Linked DNA regions of Rhinolophus ferrumequinum. The protein of the gene in region 2 interacts with the protein of the main gene of each other region in a biochemical or structural test. Links are inferred from orthologs where the notes say so. Each region holds a gene or a part of one and is shown on either strand. Other genes may lie near its edges.

What was found.
Region 1: of the proteins of STAT1 (region 2) and PRKCD, one has a biochemical effect on the other in vitro, tested with the Homo sapiens proteins (2 studies listed by BioGRID). The link is inferred for Rhinolophus ferrumequinum from reciprocal best matches to the Homo sapiens genes STAT1 and PRKCD.

What each region holds. Positions count from the first base shown.
Region 1 is NC_046300.1:48,622,368-48,630,149, reverse strand, and holds the start of PRKCD (protein kinase C delta type), read right to left. Parts: upstream 3,170-7,782; 5' UTR 2,934-3,169; intron 2,767-2,933; exon of another isoform or gene 2,744-2,766; intron 1-2,743.
Region 2 is NC_046291.1:38,074,534-38,083,270, forward strand, and holds the start of STAT1 (signal transducer and activator of transcription 1-alpha/beta), read left to right. Parts: upstream 1-5,529; 5' UTR 5,530-5,685; exon of another isoform or gene 5,686-5,831; intron 5,832-5,981; 5' UTR 5,982-6,142; intron 6,143-8,737. UniProt on the Homo sapiens protein: Signal transducer and transcription activator that mediates cellular responses to interferons (IFNs), cytokine KITLG/SCF and other cytokines and other growth factors.

The DNA.
Region 1 (7,782 bases), on a different chromosome or scaffold from region 2:
AGACAATTCCTCAAGTTTGTCTCATCTTAAAATGGGGAGAATACACCTTCCCAGGTGGTTTCCAGGCTCCAATAATGTGACATGCCAGTTCCTGTGCTGGACTCATACTGGGAGTGCCAAGTGAATAGTGATACTTTTTTGTTCCTTGCTTTGCATCTTCTAGTAGAAGTGATTCTCACATTACCCATTGTGCCCATTATACAGCCAAAAGAAACTGAGGCCCAGGGAGCTCCTGGAAGGAAGGAATAGCAAAGGCAGCAAGGTGCCCTGGGTGTCCAGGTTGAAAGACCTGAGCACTTTTTCTGCATGCCAGGCCTCCACAAAAGATGCCCCTCTTCAGATGTGAGCCCCTCCTCCAGCTGAAGATTCCCATCACCATTCCCTGGGGACCGAGACACCCTCAGGCTTTATCTTTTTGTCTGTACTTTAAGTTACTTCTAATTTTAATTTAAACTCCAATTAGCTGTGCCAGCTAAATGGTGTCAGTGCCCTGCAGTCACAGCTCCAAATCACCCCTCACCGCTCTCTCCACCACTGCTGCTGAGACTGGGGGGAGGGGTGTCATCATGTGGGATGAACAGGGCTGGATGCTGGGAGGGTTTCTGTCAGTCGTCTTCCCTCCCACAAGCTGCCTGGTCAAAGGGAAGGGAGGCAGACAAGAGACAGATTCCCCGGGAGGATACTGGGTTGGGGGACTATCTGGGCTTTTATTAGCCCCAGCTCCCAGGAGAATAGGGACCATACAACTGGGGGGAGGTGGTCACCAAATAAGACTTAGCATGTGCTGAGCTCTCACTATGGGCTAAGGCTGTGCTAAAGGACCTGTGACACAGGACCTCTAGTCATCAACTTTCTCCATTCCGCAGATAAGGCAAGAGATTTAGAGAAGCCTAGCTCTGGTCTCTTGCTCTTTTAAGCCCAGGTCTTCTCTGGGTTCAGAGTCCAAGGTCTTGGTCATGACACTACAAACCCCAAGACTTGTCCTCTGGTGTCTGGCAACTTGGGGGGGTAGAGGAAGGTGAGAAATGAAGGTCTCCCTACTCTCCCCAGGAGCCAGGGCCGGGCTAGAGCATGATGCGTGCACACCCACACACTGGGGCTCTCACCTTTCCTCCCAACACTGTCACCCCAGGGCACAGGCACCACACACCTTGTTTCATCCCCTCTTGCTCCTGACACCCACGCCCAAGCACTCTCAGTTCCCCACAAGCACAGTTACTCCCATAGCACACAGACTCACAGTTTCATACAGTCAGACTGTGAGTGTCCCACCAGTCATAGGCCCACACCACGTCTTGCTCCCTGCTCCGGTCCTGTCATACACCAGATCCCATACAACACCCTACAGCCAGGTATAGCTGTCCCAAAACCTCCACATCACACACACACACACACACACACACACACTCACACTCACACTCTCTCTCTCCACAGCTGCCCTCTGCTGGCCTGTCCACCACACCCCAACTCAGTTCACAGCAGGAACAAGGAAACCTGATGGAACAGTCCCCTCTCTTGGTGACTTGGTCAGCCTGATCACAGTGGCTCAGTAGCAGAGGGAGAGGAAGCACAACATGTGAGTGTGTGTGCGTACACGCGCACACACACACACACACGCACAACACACTCAGAAAGACACACACATGAACCTGGTGGGCTGGAACCCTAATACCGGGGCTCCCACAATTAACAGCTTGAATATACTCATGGGCCAGTGGGTCACCACGACACACCCAGTGCAACATAGGACCCTCCAAACACACAGGGATGTATACACATAGTTGCAAAGGGCACACAGAGCTTCAGAACACCCAAACAGATACACACAACACACACACACACACACACACACACAGAGGCAAATCATACATGAGAAACAGGACTCACAGGGGCAAGCTCCAAACACAGCGACAAAGAACACCCAAGCGGACACAGACACACAACATACTTACACGCTTAGACATACAAGCGACCCAGCTCACGAAGACAGGATCCATACATACAGGGCAGGGGCCAGAGGAGAAGGGGGTCAGCCCTCCACTCACAGCAAATCCTTCTGATCAGCTTTAAGTGGGGGCTCAGTGGGGGAGGTGGGAAAGTGGGGCACTTCTGAAGGTGCCCACCTTCTTCACCCCACTTTCCTCCACCGTCTCCCCTCACCGGTCTGGGACCCCAAAGGCGTGGTGTCTGGATTGCGGAGGGGCCTGGGGCAGACAAGTCCTTGAACAGGCCACCAGGGTAGGGGGCTCAAAGGAGCAAAAGGGCGAGACGGGAAGGGGAGGGTGATGGAGACGAGCCACGCCCAGCCCGGAGACAGATGGAGAGACCGAGAGACACAGAGACTGAAAGGAGATAGAGCGAGGAGGAGGCACCGCGCGGGCGGGGCTGGGACCCAGGGCCGGGAGGCGGGAGGCGAGGCCCGGCGGACCGCCAGGCTTGGGCCGCGCTGTAGAAAAGGAGAGGCGGCGGGACAGGCTAGGGGCGGCGAGCGCTGGCCGGGGACGCGGCTCCCGGAGGACGAGATCTAGGGGGCGGCGGGGGATGGGGGTGGGGCGAAGGGGCATGCGAAGGGTGAAAGACAGACAGAGACCAGGGAGAGGCGGACGGGGGGAGGGGGTGGGGACAGATGGACGGACAGAGGGCCCCAGAGATTCGGGAGGGACGGGTGGACTTTCGAAGGAGATGGGGACACAGGCGGGTAGTGGGGCTGGGAGCTGACGGACAAGAGGGCCTCGGCCCCTACCGTTGAACCGAGGGACAGACAGACGGGGGTACGGAGGCACCGGCGGGTCCCGGGGCGCGGCGACACTTTCGCTGGCGGCGGATCAGTTTCTCAGTTTCGGAAACGGGAACCAGAGAGGGGAGGGGGAAGGGAGGGGCAGCGCGCCCTCGGGGTAGCTCGGATCCCACGTTTGGAACCGGCCCTCACTCACCTCCAAGCGCAGGGCCAGGCGCCAGGGGTCGCGGCAGCTGGGGTCCGGCTCCCGGCGCGGCTCCTGGGCGTGCGCTCAGACGTGGGTCTTGGTGGGGCCAGACCCGGACGGGCCCGGCGGCGGGTGAAGTACCGTCCCCGCCTCGGCGCGACCGGCGGGTGCCGGGGGTCGCTCCGGGGATCCCAGGGCCGCCGCCTCCCGCGCCGCTGCACACGGAAGTACAAGGGGGCGGGGCGGGGCGACCTCACCCAGGTGCCGGCCCCGGCCCGCCCCCGGATCAGGGCCTGCCCCTCGAAGGCCCGCCTCCGCGCGCTGGAGCCGGGGTCCAGCATCTCTGCCTCTGCTCGAGTCACTCAGTGTCTGGGCCTCTCTGCCCTCCCCTCACACCTCGACCCCGGTCTCCCATCAGCTCACGTACCAGCCCTTAGAGGGGGCCGCATCATACAGAGGACGCTGAGGCCCGACGGAGGGGGCGTTACCTCCGCCCCCACCCCAAAGCACGCAAGCCGGGAGGCGCCCGCGGGGGTTCCCCAGATCCCGGCGCCCACGCCCGGGACTCCCCACCAGCCTGCTGGCCAGTCACGCCAGGCCTCTCTCTTTCTCTTCCTGTTGACTGGAGTGCAGACGCGGCGGGGCTCGGTGCCCGCCGCCAGGCCGGCTAGTCCCGGCCCTGCCCCTACACGAGCTGGGAAGACTCCAGGGCGGGAGGCTCTAGCTGGTCTGCGGCTGGTCAGACCCTTCTGAGAGCGATCCCTAACCCGATGCCCCAGTGGTCCGCTCTCCCGGCCGGGCTTTCCAGAGCTCTCCATCGCCCCGGGTAGGCGCCTAAGCTTCCTTTCCAGACTTGGAACTTGGCTGTCAGGCATAACTCATTCATTCGTTCGTTCATTCATTCATTCACTGAGTATTCCCTGGGCTGAAGTCTGGAGACGGAGTGGGGTCCAGGGAGTCCATTTCCTCTGCCTCCAAAGCTCAGAAAGTCAAACCGCTGGCTTTGTACTCCAAAGAAATGCCACTTTCCAGAGGCATAGAAGAGGGTTCCGGGTCTCAGGCCTCCTGCGGTAACCTCTAGAGGGGATGAGAAGAGTCCAGACTGCTCTTCCCAGCTGAAGAGTAAGGGATGAAACTCGGGGTGGGAGTGGGGCAATCCTGAGGAGGCCTGAGCTGGCTTTAGTCTTCTCAAGGAGCAGGTGGTGGCAGCTATTACAACGGATTGCGCTCCTGGGGCGATCATAGGACAGAGGGGAAGGAGAAAGGAGGGGGCTGGATGGGGCAGAAGGGCTGTCACATTCTTCAGGTGGGAAGACCCTGGGTTGGGTAAGATGGGTCCCTTACAGGGTTGTGTGAATAGCGGGTGGGGATGTTGAGAACCCTAAGAGAGATGTGGATCCTGAAATTCTGTTTTAAGTGTGTGCAGGCGGGGGCAAAGGGAAGTGTCTGGACTGCAAAGAGAAAAACTGCAATGACTCTTCCCACCACAGAGAGAGGGGGGCCCTGGTGCCCTACACCTGGGAAGGAAGACCCAGCTTTCCACCAAGCTGGACTGCTCTCACCACACTGGACTGTCATTTGGGAAATAGGCATTATGCCTTACCTCACAACCAAACCTTTGAACATGCTGTTCCCTGGGCCACGATGCCATTTCCCACCCACCCCCATATCTCTACCTGTCTGGGTTGTGATCACTTAAATGCTTCTCTCCCTGAGCCCAGCTGTGAATCCATGGCATTTCCCTGAGCTAAGGAACTGTATTCCTATGTATTCATTAGCCTGTTTTGTGTCCTGGTCTCCCCGCCCCAATCCCATGACTTCCCTGGGGTTGGGCTGGAGAAAAAGGTGAGTCAAGGTGACTCCAGGTGACTTTTGCCCACCTGGGATCAAGTTTCCTTTCTGGCTCCTCCCTCCAGATCCAGTGGCCAACCCAGCCTCTCCCACAACATCAACAATAGGCTGACCCAGTGCCAGAGACCACCGAAGGGGAGGGCTGACCCATGGGGAGCTCCAGGTTCTGCCACCAGACTTTTATTCCCACACCTTAGGTTCACCTTGGAAAATGGAAAGTAAGAATAATGGCTATCACTGACGGAGCTTCCCTGGTGCCAGGCCCTTTGCTGGATACTGAATGTGTGAATCTGTTTGGTCCTCAAGACCCTTTAAGATGAGGGCCACTATTAGTGAGTGCCACTTTTGGTGATGGGCAAATTGAGTCTTTCAAAGAGAGATAAAGCCCCTTGGTGAAGGGTACACAGCTAGTAAATGGCAGAGGCAGAATTCCAACTGGCTCCAAAACCCATGTTTTAGTTCAGGAGTTCTCAATCTCAGCGCTACTGACTTTCGGGCCAGATAACTCATTGTTGTGGGAACTGTCCTGTGCATTGCAGGATGTTTAGCTGCATCCTTGGCCTCTACACTAGATGCCAGTAGCACATCCTCAAATTGTGACAGATAAAAATGTCTCCAGATACTGCCAAATATCCCCTCGGCGCCAAAAATCACCCCTTGTTCAGAACCATTGCTTTAGAGTGGGGCTGGTGTGACAGGAGCAAGAACGATTTAAATTAGACACCAGGAAGCACTTTCCTGGCCCTCAGGATTATAGAGCCCACACTATGATGAGGGCAGAGGAGGGATGCAGGTGGGCTTCCCTCCAGAATCAAACTGTGGGACCAACAGTCCCAGGGAGAACAGGCATTTGTGGGGTCCAGGAATCCAGGTCAAGCTCAGCTGGAGCCACTCTGCATGCTGGAACTGCTCTTAGGTGCCACACTGGGTGGGCCAGTGCAAGATCCAGATGAGCTTGCCTTTGTGCCCCCATAACCTACCTGGACCCAACCTTAGATGGGCCTGCTGAGGCCTGGGTGCAAACCTTGGCTGTGTGACAGCATGCTAATTGTATGATCTTGAGCAGGTGACAACACCTCTTTGATCCTGAGTCCTCAACTGTGAAAGGGACTGATGACAGACCCATGTCAGGGGTTGAGTAAAAGGTGAGGTGAGACGATATGTGTGGACACCCATTAAGGGCTCAGCTCACATTGGCCAGGTATGGTCACTTTGCTGAGTCACAGGCTGTCAGCCTTGGAAGAGCCCTCGATAGCCTCTTGTGACATGGGGCATAAATCTCCAAGTAGGGCTAGGCCCATAGCAGCCACCCAGAAGTGGTACTTTCCCTTTCTCCTCCTCCAGGTTTGCTGCAAAGGAAATGGGCCCATCAGGGGTAGCACTGGGTAGTGTTCAGACTCCTACCCCAGCATCCACACAGAGCTGTTCCTCTGGGGCTCCCTGGAGGGTTTGTCCAGAGGAGGGTCAACCTGCAACTCCTACTCCACCCAGAGGCCATGAACCTGGGGGCCTCCCCCCACCAAGCCCCTCTACAGGTAGTTCCAGATTCAGCCAAGCAACCTGGAAAAGGCCTGGACCTCCCTCTATCGCTTGGGCCTGCCCAACTATGGGCAGGATAGGGTCCCCCACTTGATCCCTGTGTAGAATTGGTCCTTGTCCTGGCCTTTCTGCCTCTTACTCTCTGTTTGTGCTTCTCTGTATTACCATCCCTGTCCCTGAAGCTTTGGCTGCCAGCACCATCCCCATCACACCCAGAGCACTGGCCTGGCCAAGGGAGAGTGAGCTCATGTTTCCGGAGAAGGAGGCGCAGGCCAGCAGGGATGGTGTGCCTGAGTAACTGCTGGGGTAGCAGAGCCTTGGAAGGTCCCACTGCGGATAGAGCAGGAGAGAAGGGCATTTGGGACATGGTCCAACCAGTCAGTGGCCATGCCTCAGGCCACCAAATGGTCACGAGCAAGGATTTCGGCTTTGGGCACTGGATAGGGGGCAAGTGAGGGCAGTGACTTTGGGGGCAGTGCCACATGGTAGGGAAGTGCCAGGCCAAGGGGCTGCAGGGTCCAGGTTCACATCCCAGCTCTGCCGTGGACCTGTGACTTAACTGTGCCTCACCTTCCTCATCTGTGGATTGGAGATAATAATAGTAATACAGTGGTACCTCGGTTTTCGAACATAATCCGTTCCGGAAGAACGTTCGAGTTCTGAAACGTTTGAAAACAGCCAACAGCTAGGCTTCAGGATCTTGCACTCAGCAGAAGCTGCATGACATGTTCGACTTCTGAGGCGTGTTTGAAAACCGAAGCATTTACTCCCGGGTTTATGGCATACATAAACCGAAATGTTCAACGGAGACATTCAAAAACCGAGGTACTACTGTGTTGTCCTGATGGTTTGTTGAGAGGATGGAAGAGATCAAGCTCATGAAGCTCTGGTGCAAGGCTCAATCTATGTTGGTGTAACTGCCAAAGAGTTGGTCCTACCCAAGTTCCGTCCGGGGCTCATTTGTGTTTGAGTGAAGCTTGAGAAATACTTGGGTTAGACAAAGGGAAGGTACTTTCTGGGAGTGCAGGGCACAGATCTTTCCTGGGGCTCCCACGGAGGTGTGCAGCCCCCAGACTGCCCCAGTCCTACACTGACCACTGCACAACCCCTGCCCCTCTGAGTCCCCTCTTCTGGCTTGCCTAACCCGCAGCCCCGCAAAGAGGTTTGAAGGAGAGGCAGTTTGGGCGTTGGTGGTGTGCCAAGGGGCAGTCACGGAGCGACAGCTATCCCGACGCACACAGACCCAAGGGATTCCCCACGCAACAGCACCCCCTCTGCTCTGATCTGCCAGGTGTCACACTCGGTCTGACACCTGGGAGCCGAGGAGCTCAGTCAGCCACAGGGCGGGGAGGGCGGCGGGCCTCACCAGCCCCTTCTCCATCTCGCCTTTGCTTGCCTCCGTCTTCCTCCAGAGCCGGCAGCTCACCGAACCCAGCTTGGCTCACGGGAACTGGTGCAGGTGGGCAAG
Region 2 (8,737 bases):
GGGACCACTTCTCTCAGACTCGATCCGGCAGGGGGGGCGAGGGTTTGGGGGGCGGAGGGCGGGGACCGCAGGCAGGCGGGGATTCAGTGGGAAAGCCCCGGGCCCGCGCCTGCGTACTGCTCCTCATATCGCTGACTTTCGCTTTTCGATTTCCTCTCAGTCCCGCTCCTTCTCGCTCCCGGGCTATTTCCCCGAAAGCACGTGGGGCGGCTCTTCTGAGCAGCTGCGTCCCTCCCGCCGCGCGCCCTGGCAGGCTGTTTTGGAAACTTTCCCAGGAGCCGCTCTACCCGCACCAGCCGGAGTGCATCCGGTTCTGGGCCGGTGTGAGCTAGCCTCACGAAAGCACAGGACTTCAAAAGGTTTTCGTGAGGATGTTTGGACAAGTATAATAGTGCTCATTATAGACATTTTTGGGAAAAAAAGAGAAAATTATAAAGATGTAATCCACCACCCTGAAACATTTAAAATATTTTCCCCCTCTCCTGTCTTTTTCTTTCTCTCTGTCTCAATGTGTTTCCATGTATTTCCATTTCTACATATTCTTAGAGTACTAGGATAATGCTATGTGTTCTATCCTGCATTTTAGTTTAATTTTATACGTGAGTATTTTCCAATGTAACTAAATAGTCTTTGAAAGCATAACTTTAATATTCTATCACATGACTATAAAAAAATCCAAAGAACTGCAGGGAATTTTACAAATCCTTCATTTCATTTCCATTATATTACAGATTAACAAATATGGTTTACTTACACTGATTAAGTGGAATTTGTACTGTTAGATATTTAGGTTACCAACATTAGAAAAAACTATGTCTAAAATGCAATATGGTTGCTGGAAGGACAGGGAATGTTTTTCAACATATTACTCTAGGTTTTTTCATCAGACTTGTAGATGCCGTTTTGAAACAGACCAAGGCCATACAGACAGAACACAAAGCTAGTAAGTTTTTCATGGGTTTGTGATAAGGACACACTGGCTAGTGTACTACTGGGGGATGAGAGACCCCACAGAAAATATTCGTGTTCGGGGAAGGGCAGTGGGCCTGCACCACTTGAGAAAGTTTGTTTAGAATTCAGTAGTAGGATGTTTTGCTTCTCCCCATAAGCTCTGTATCAATGATCTATTGCTGCATAACAAACCAAACTACCCCCAAAACTCGGTGGGGTAAAACAACCACCATTTATCATTGCTTGTGCGTCTAGGGTAGGCTGGACAGTTCTGCTCATCCGGGTCAGGCCACCTGATCTTGCCGAGGCACTCTCACGTGTCTGAGGCCTAAACCCTGACAGTTGCAGGACTCAGCTGTGGCTTGTGTTCTCTCATCCTGCAGCAGGCAAGACCGATTTGCATGGAGGCAGAACAGGGTTCTGGGAGTGGTGTGTGTAAGGCCTCTTGAGGCCTCGGCCCAGAATGACACAATGTCACTTTTGCTGCATAATATTGGTCAAAGCAATTGACAAGCTAGGGCAGTGGAGAAACAGTCCCCATTTCTTGCTGGAAGGAGCCTCAGAGTCACATTGCAAAGGAGTGTGGATACAGGAAAAGGAATAATGGAGCCATTGTTGAAAACAATCTACCAGGAGATCCTTCCTAATATTTTATGATGAGAATATGTAACTGCTAATATATATCTTTTTACTTTGGCTTGTAGTCTGCGTTGTATTCTTTATGTTTCTAGTTATTGTAAATATAATTAAATACAAGTGGGTGGTTGACAATAAAAGAGGGGATGCATGGAGAATAAAAATGACACTGTCTCCTTTTCTCCAAGCAAAAATAAATTTGTTCCAAATGGGAGGACTGGCATGGTTTGTAAGAGCCTTTCCATTATAATGTTGTGTGAATTTATGAGTTACTCCAGGGCCTTTAGTTACTCATCATAAAATGTGGTTTCTAGACTCCTCACCATCCTTGATTTTCCTTTGAATATACACCAGTTGACAGATGGCAAATAGTAAGCTTCATTTTACCTGCCTTTTCTGATTGATTGCTAGTGACCAACTAGATCTAGTGTTGAGTACTATTCAGAAGCTGGCCACTGGCAGCAAAGAGTACCCTGTTGTTTGTTGCTTTTTAAAAAACCCACATACAGATCTTAGCATTTCCTGTTTTAAGTTTTATCTAGTTGGTTTCAGCCTAGCAGCATTCTATCCTGTTCAGATGATTTCAAATTTTGATTCTGTCACCTATGAACTAGTCAGCTATTTCAATGGCAAAACAAACAAATAAAAAATACCTCCGTGACTTACAACAACGACAACAAACACATCCCACTGTCTCCCTTACGGGTGTATGGATGGGCTGCAGCAGTTCTGCTCCAGGTGACTCCACATATCTTTCCTTGCAGGACTCTGGCTGGAGGAGCAGCAGATGCTTGAGCCTGCCGTCTCCTAGTGCAGGGAAGAAGCACACAAAAACAAGTCTGTCACAAAGAACATGCAAAATCTTAGGTCGGTGGAGTTACATTTGCTCAGATTCCATTATTAGAACAAGTCACACAGCAAGGCTAGAGTCAATGCACAAGAAGGTGCACTTCCCTCTTAGTGAAGACACTTAGTGAAGTGTCTATTATAGCATTCCAGTTCTAAAGTGATCAAAGCCTGCAACAGGATATTGTCAATGACTGTAAAACTAAGAATAAAGGCATAGGGAAAGAAGCATCCATAGAACTCCATGACAAAGAATGGGAAGGGAAAGAAAAATATTGACAAATAATATAGTCTACCAGACATGGTATTAGCTACTTTTTTCCTAGATGTGTGCCTTTTGCAAAGTTAATGTTGTTGGTATAGAGATACAGCTTCCCAAGCTGACTATTCTAAAGAGGCCATCTCATATTTGGGTCTGTCATTTTTGTATCCCCAGTTTTTTATTTGATTTGTTTTTTTGATTTGGTTGCTTTTGAAACAGTAAATATATTAAACAGTCACACTTATAAAATACATAAAGTTTGACCCCCAGGAACTTAGAACCTTGGATGGATAAGACTTGGACACTTCAAAAACCATAATATAAGAGAGTGTGTGATGATTGTCAACATAAATAGAGACACTTATATATCATATTATATCAGAGACCAGATTGCTCACCACAGGTCACATGATTCCAGAAGGAGAACATGGAATTTAGGTTTGGTTTTAAAAGTTGAGTTAGGATTTAATAAATGAAGGGAGTAAGGGGCAGGACTAGTCATTCCGTATGTGCAACACTTGCCAGTAGTATGTGCAAAGGAGCAGAACCGGGAAAATTAAAAGCATGAGGGGAGAGCAGGGGACAGAGTTTAGTTGGGTAATGGGACAATGGGAGACAAGGCTGGAAAGAAAGGTAGGGACATTCTGTGGAGGATCCAGACCAGTTTATGTTTATTATAAATGCAATGAACTTTGGCAAGGCTTTTCAGTGGGGAATGACTATATAAATACGGTGTTTTCGAGAATTTAATTTGGAAAAAATAATGGAGCAGGAAAGGCAAGAAGTCTGGTGTCTATTGTAGCATTCCAGTTCTGAAGTGATGAAGGCCTACGACAGGGTATTGTCAATGACTGTAAAATAAGGAGAATAAAGCCATAGGGATGGAAGATCCTAGAACCTGATAACCAGAATGTGGAGAGCCAAAGAGAAACATCCTGTTTACATAGGCTAAGATTATTTAATCCCCCCATCAATATTAAAGCTAATCTATGTACAGATTTTACAATACCAGAAAAAAGGGTATTTTAAACATATTATCTACCCTTCCTGGAGTCAGCTTTTCTCAAACATTGTCTGGGCCCTTAGTGCAGATGAGTAGGAGGGGAAGGGCTCTTTTTGGTAGTTTAGCATCTCTTTTCACAGAAGGCTGCTACTTTCGTACCAAGGGTCATTGCTATCACCAGTTCAGTACTAATTTTGTGAGGTTGAACATGTGACAAGAAGGAGTATATAGATGTGGAGGAGAAACAACTATAGGAGACACATACATAAGCACATCTCTGGGAAATTATTTAGATCCTTTTTCTACCCAAAGTTGCCTTATTATTCAAGGTTTGAGTCAAATTCCATCTACTTGAAGGAACCAACTGATTTTATGGGCATGTATTCCAAGAAGATCTAATCTAGACTGGCCTCAGGGATGCCTGCCTGGGAAGTGACATTTAAGCTGAGATTTTAGCTGAGACAAAAGACAAGTTAGCCATCAAAAAAGTTGGGGGAGGAGGGTGATGGCTTAAAGGGTTTTCCAAATGGAGAACTGCCAGTGAGAAGGCCCTGAGTTTGTGGAAATAATTCAGCTTATTTGAAGAACAAAAATGCTGACGTAAGGAAAGAGTGGCACAAGATGGGGTTAGAGAAAATGATAAGGGAGCTAGTGCTTTTCTTTGTAGGGTATATTAAGAAATTTGAATTTTATAAGAAAAGCCATTAGAGGATTTTCAGGTTGACAAACACATAATTTGCTTTTCAATTAAAAATAGAATCCCTCAAACTGCTGTAGGGAGAATGAATTAAAAGAAAGTTAAGAACTGAAGTGTGGCGGCCATTTGGGAATCCACAGCAGTAATCTAAATGAGACAAAAGGGGGGATGGCATAAGAGATAGTGAGAAGTGAGGAGACTTGAGAAATATTTAGAAGGAAGAATCAAACAAGGCTTGAGGAAGAGGTGTGCAGGGTGAGGAAGAAGGCAATGTCAAAAATAACTCCTAGCTATCCCACGTGTGCCATTTCTAGAAAGAGGGCAGGTTTGAGGAGAAAGATGATGAGTTGGTTCTGAACATCACTAGTTGGCAGAACTTACCGGACGTCCAAGAAGGGAGTCAAGTGGGGGCTGTACACAGGTGTGGAACTTGGAAGGAGGTGTGAACAGGGTACACATACAGCAGCCCTCCACCTCTTGAAGAAAATTGGGACGCTGTGGGTGAGGTCATCACGGGGCAGCGTAAGGAGAAACGTAGGTAAAGCAGACCAAGAACAGGACTCTGACAACAATTAACATTGACCGGCTTGGTAGTATAGGTGGAGCAGAGATGGAGAAAGAATGCTACAGAGGTAGGAAGAAGCAAAGAAGAGGTGTGTGTTCTCATCATGGCCAAGAAAGTGGTGTTAAAAAAATGGAGACATTAACTGTGCAGAAGGTTTCTGAGCGTTCAAGTAGGTGAGAACAGAAAAGCGACCCCTGGGTTTAGCTACACGGAAGTCAGCTGCTAAGTTGAGCTTCTAGAATGACAATGCCCCAACCTGTGTCCTCTGCCTCCGTTTCTCAGATATGGAGCTAATGCAGAGATCGCCAAATTTGGGCCTTTACAAACACAGAACTTCCTTTTAATTGCGCTGTAGAATGTGTAACCATAACCTCTAGTCAGTCAAGTTGCAACACAGAGCTTAGCTTCGCGTCACTGACGTAGGGACCAAGGAAGCACCCGGCGTGTAGGCAAAGCAGCAACCCCGGGGGGAGGTGGCGCGACCGCGGAACAGCCGGGTCCCATTGGCCGAGTGCGGGAGCCCCAGTGATTGGTGGAGGCGGAGGAGGCGGGGCGTCCGGCGCTGCCTTTTTTCTAGGTTGGTGCTTTCGTTTTCCTGCGCAGAGTCTTCGGAGAGGCCTGGCTGCACTTGGGAAGACGCGGGTGAAACCCCAGACAGAGAAGAGGCGGCTGGGTGCGCCCGAGAGAGGCGCCTTCGCCCATCCCTGCTCGACCCGTCGCGCAGAGTGAGCGGGCGTGAGGTTCCAGGTGGGAGTGCGCTGGGACCAGCGCCGTCCGGGCGGGGCAGCGGGACACTGGGCCACGATCGGCTTGGCCGTGCTGCCAGGTGATTCCGTCATCCCGGAAGGAACGCGCGTTCCTAGAATCCCAGGTGCTATTCTCGATGATGGCACGGTTGCCCCTGCCAGTCGAGCTCTAGAAGTAAAGATGTCTTGTAAAATGCAATTATGACCCCATTTACCCTCACTGTTCCCTCCTTCCCGCCCCTTTCCATCACAGTCACGTTATCTTCTTTTCACAGAAAGTTTTGATTTGCCGTGGGTCACCCCTGGAGAGCTAAGTTAGAAAGAAGGTCGCATCCTGTGCATGCAAACTGAGTAGTCTTGACACCTGAAGTGCTGTGTGTAGCTGCTGCTTGGGTTGAATTCCCACCCTGCCCCTCGCTGGGGCATAAGGTGACAGGTCAGTATATGATCATGGAATGAATGAATGCGTACATGACTTTGGAGCTTAATTATGTATCTAGGTTTAAGGAGGAAGGAGCTTAATTTCTTCTTAGAATATAAAAGTGATGTTTTGTTCCTGCAAACCCCCAAATAATACAATTAATCTTAATTAAAAAAATTGACTGATACCAGAGTTTGGGGGTAGATACATAAGTTTGTGGTTGATTGTGCTTTGGATGTTGTTTGTATAGGTTGGAGAGGTGGTTTTTATGGGACATAAATAAGACTTGAGCCTCTAGCACAATACAGTATGCAGTATTGCTTAATGAGGAGGCTTGTTGGGCCGTAATATGGTTTGCCCTTTACTTTCTATTGCAATCTGAAATATACTAGATTTTAATTCAACAAACTATTGTTGATTTATTGATTACATTATATGTGCAGAACACTGTCCAGGGTCCAGAGGGGATATATATATATATATATTTATATATTTATTTATTTATTTTTTTTAAAGGCATAGTCCTTGCAACTCTGGATCTTACATCATGCGGTAGAGACATCACTGAGCTTTATAAAAAAAGACAGGGACTGGTGCTCTAATAGACACAGAATGCGATGAGACACAAGTCAAAGAAAGCTTAATTATCTCTGTGTAAGGCTCTGACAGCTTTATGGAAGAAGGGGCATTTGTACCTACCTTTGAATACTGGTAGGATTTAGAAAGGCAGAAATCTGTAGGGACCCTCTTTTCAAGGGTGAGTGACAGCTGGAGCAAAGCAGAAGTGTTGGGCGTAGCCAAAAATCCATAGATAATTTGGTGACTAGGTTGCTTTGTGAATAGATGAAAATAAGTTTGGAGTGGAAATCGGCCTGGGAATGGGCAAACCTTAGCAATTTTGAGCAAGAGAGTGATGTGGTCCAACCTGTGTGCAGCAGACAGCTGGATTGGGAGATAGAGTTGGAGGCAGGGAGGTAGGAGATCTTGGGACTGGAGAGGAAGGAGTCAGCCTGAAAATTGGGATTTGAGCCTGGTGATTGGGGGACAGTTATGCCAATCCTTGTGTCAGTAACATGTTTTGTGAGAAGATGAGATGGATTCTGGTTTTGTTAACATGGATTTATTGATTGCATGCTCTGTGCCAGGTGCTGTGTCTGTGCTAGTTTATCCACTCTTAACAACCATCCTGTTAGGGAAGTGAATTGCGTGAGGTCAGTTGCCTAATAAGAGCTCTTGCAGCCTTTGCTTGCAGACATTCCTGCTAGCATGTTTGCTTTAGGCATATCCTTATTACATACCTAAGAGGGAAGGAGAGAGCCACAGGTTTGGAGTCTTCTGCTCAGGTAAAACAGATTTCAAGTGAAAGGAAAATTGCTACAGAAAGTGTGCCAAAAGGGTAGGCATGGGTCCATTTCTTCTGGTATTTGTGATGGTAACTAGCTTTTTAGTCCCACCATATCATTACTTCCCTTTGGAAGGAAATTTGTGGAGTAATCATGACTTCGTGCCTGCATACATGTATTCACCAGCAGGCATGCATACATTTTTCCATGCCCTGCTTGAAAATCCTGACCCCTTCCTCAGAGGCCTGGTAGGATAAGATTCGCTTATATCCACTCTGAATATTGTCAGATGTGCCTGATGTAAATCCTAAATTACACTGTGGTGATGGTTTTCCTAATGAATGTTAAGACTTTCTTAAATCAAGTTTTTGTTTTAATTTTTAATCTTTAGAATTGCTATGTAAAAAATGACTTACGATTATCCAAAGAGATAGTATTAGTTTATCCTTTCATATTAAATTTAACAATGTTTCTTCAATCTTTAAAAGCTATTACTAAGATTTAAGACTTTTTCTGCCAGATTTATTGTTTGCAGTTGGCAAAGAAGAAAATATATCTCTTTTAGAAATAAGAACAAAGCGGGAGGTATCACGCTACCTGATATCAAATTATACTACATGGCAGCAGTAATCAAAACAGCACAATACTGGCATAAAAACAGACACATAGGTCAATGCAACAGAATAAATCCATACCTATATGGCCATTTAAATGATGACAAAGGAAGCAAGAATTTACATTGGGGGTAAAGACAGTCTATTTAATAAGTGGTGCTGGGAAAACTGAATAGATACATGCAAAAAAATGAAACTGGGCCACTTTCTTATGCCATACACAAGAATAAACTCAAAACGGTTTAAAGATTTAAATGTAAGACCTGAAACCATAAAACTCCTAAAACATAGGCAGTAAATTCTCAGACGTTACCCTTAGTAATATTTTTACACATATATCCCTTCGGGCACAGGAAACAAAAGAAAAAATAAATATGGGAGTACCACTTTGAGCACCTCTTGTAATTGCAGAAGTCAAATGTGACTTGTATTTATCTTCTGTTATTGGTATATATTAATACGTTTTTTTGCTTTCTTAAAATATGTATACATTTTTGGGCATCCTCTCTCCGTGTGTGTTTGTGTGTGTGTATTCTTTAAAAGGTATGTAACAAAAATACTTCATTTTACCCTATAAATCATAAAGTATAAAGTACCAGTTTAAAATTCTTTGAGTTAAATTACAAATGGACTGTGATTTGTAAGAGAACAAT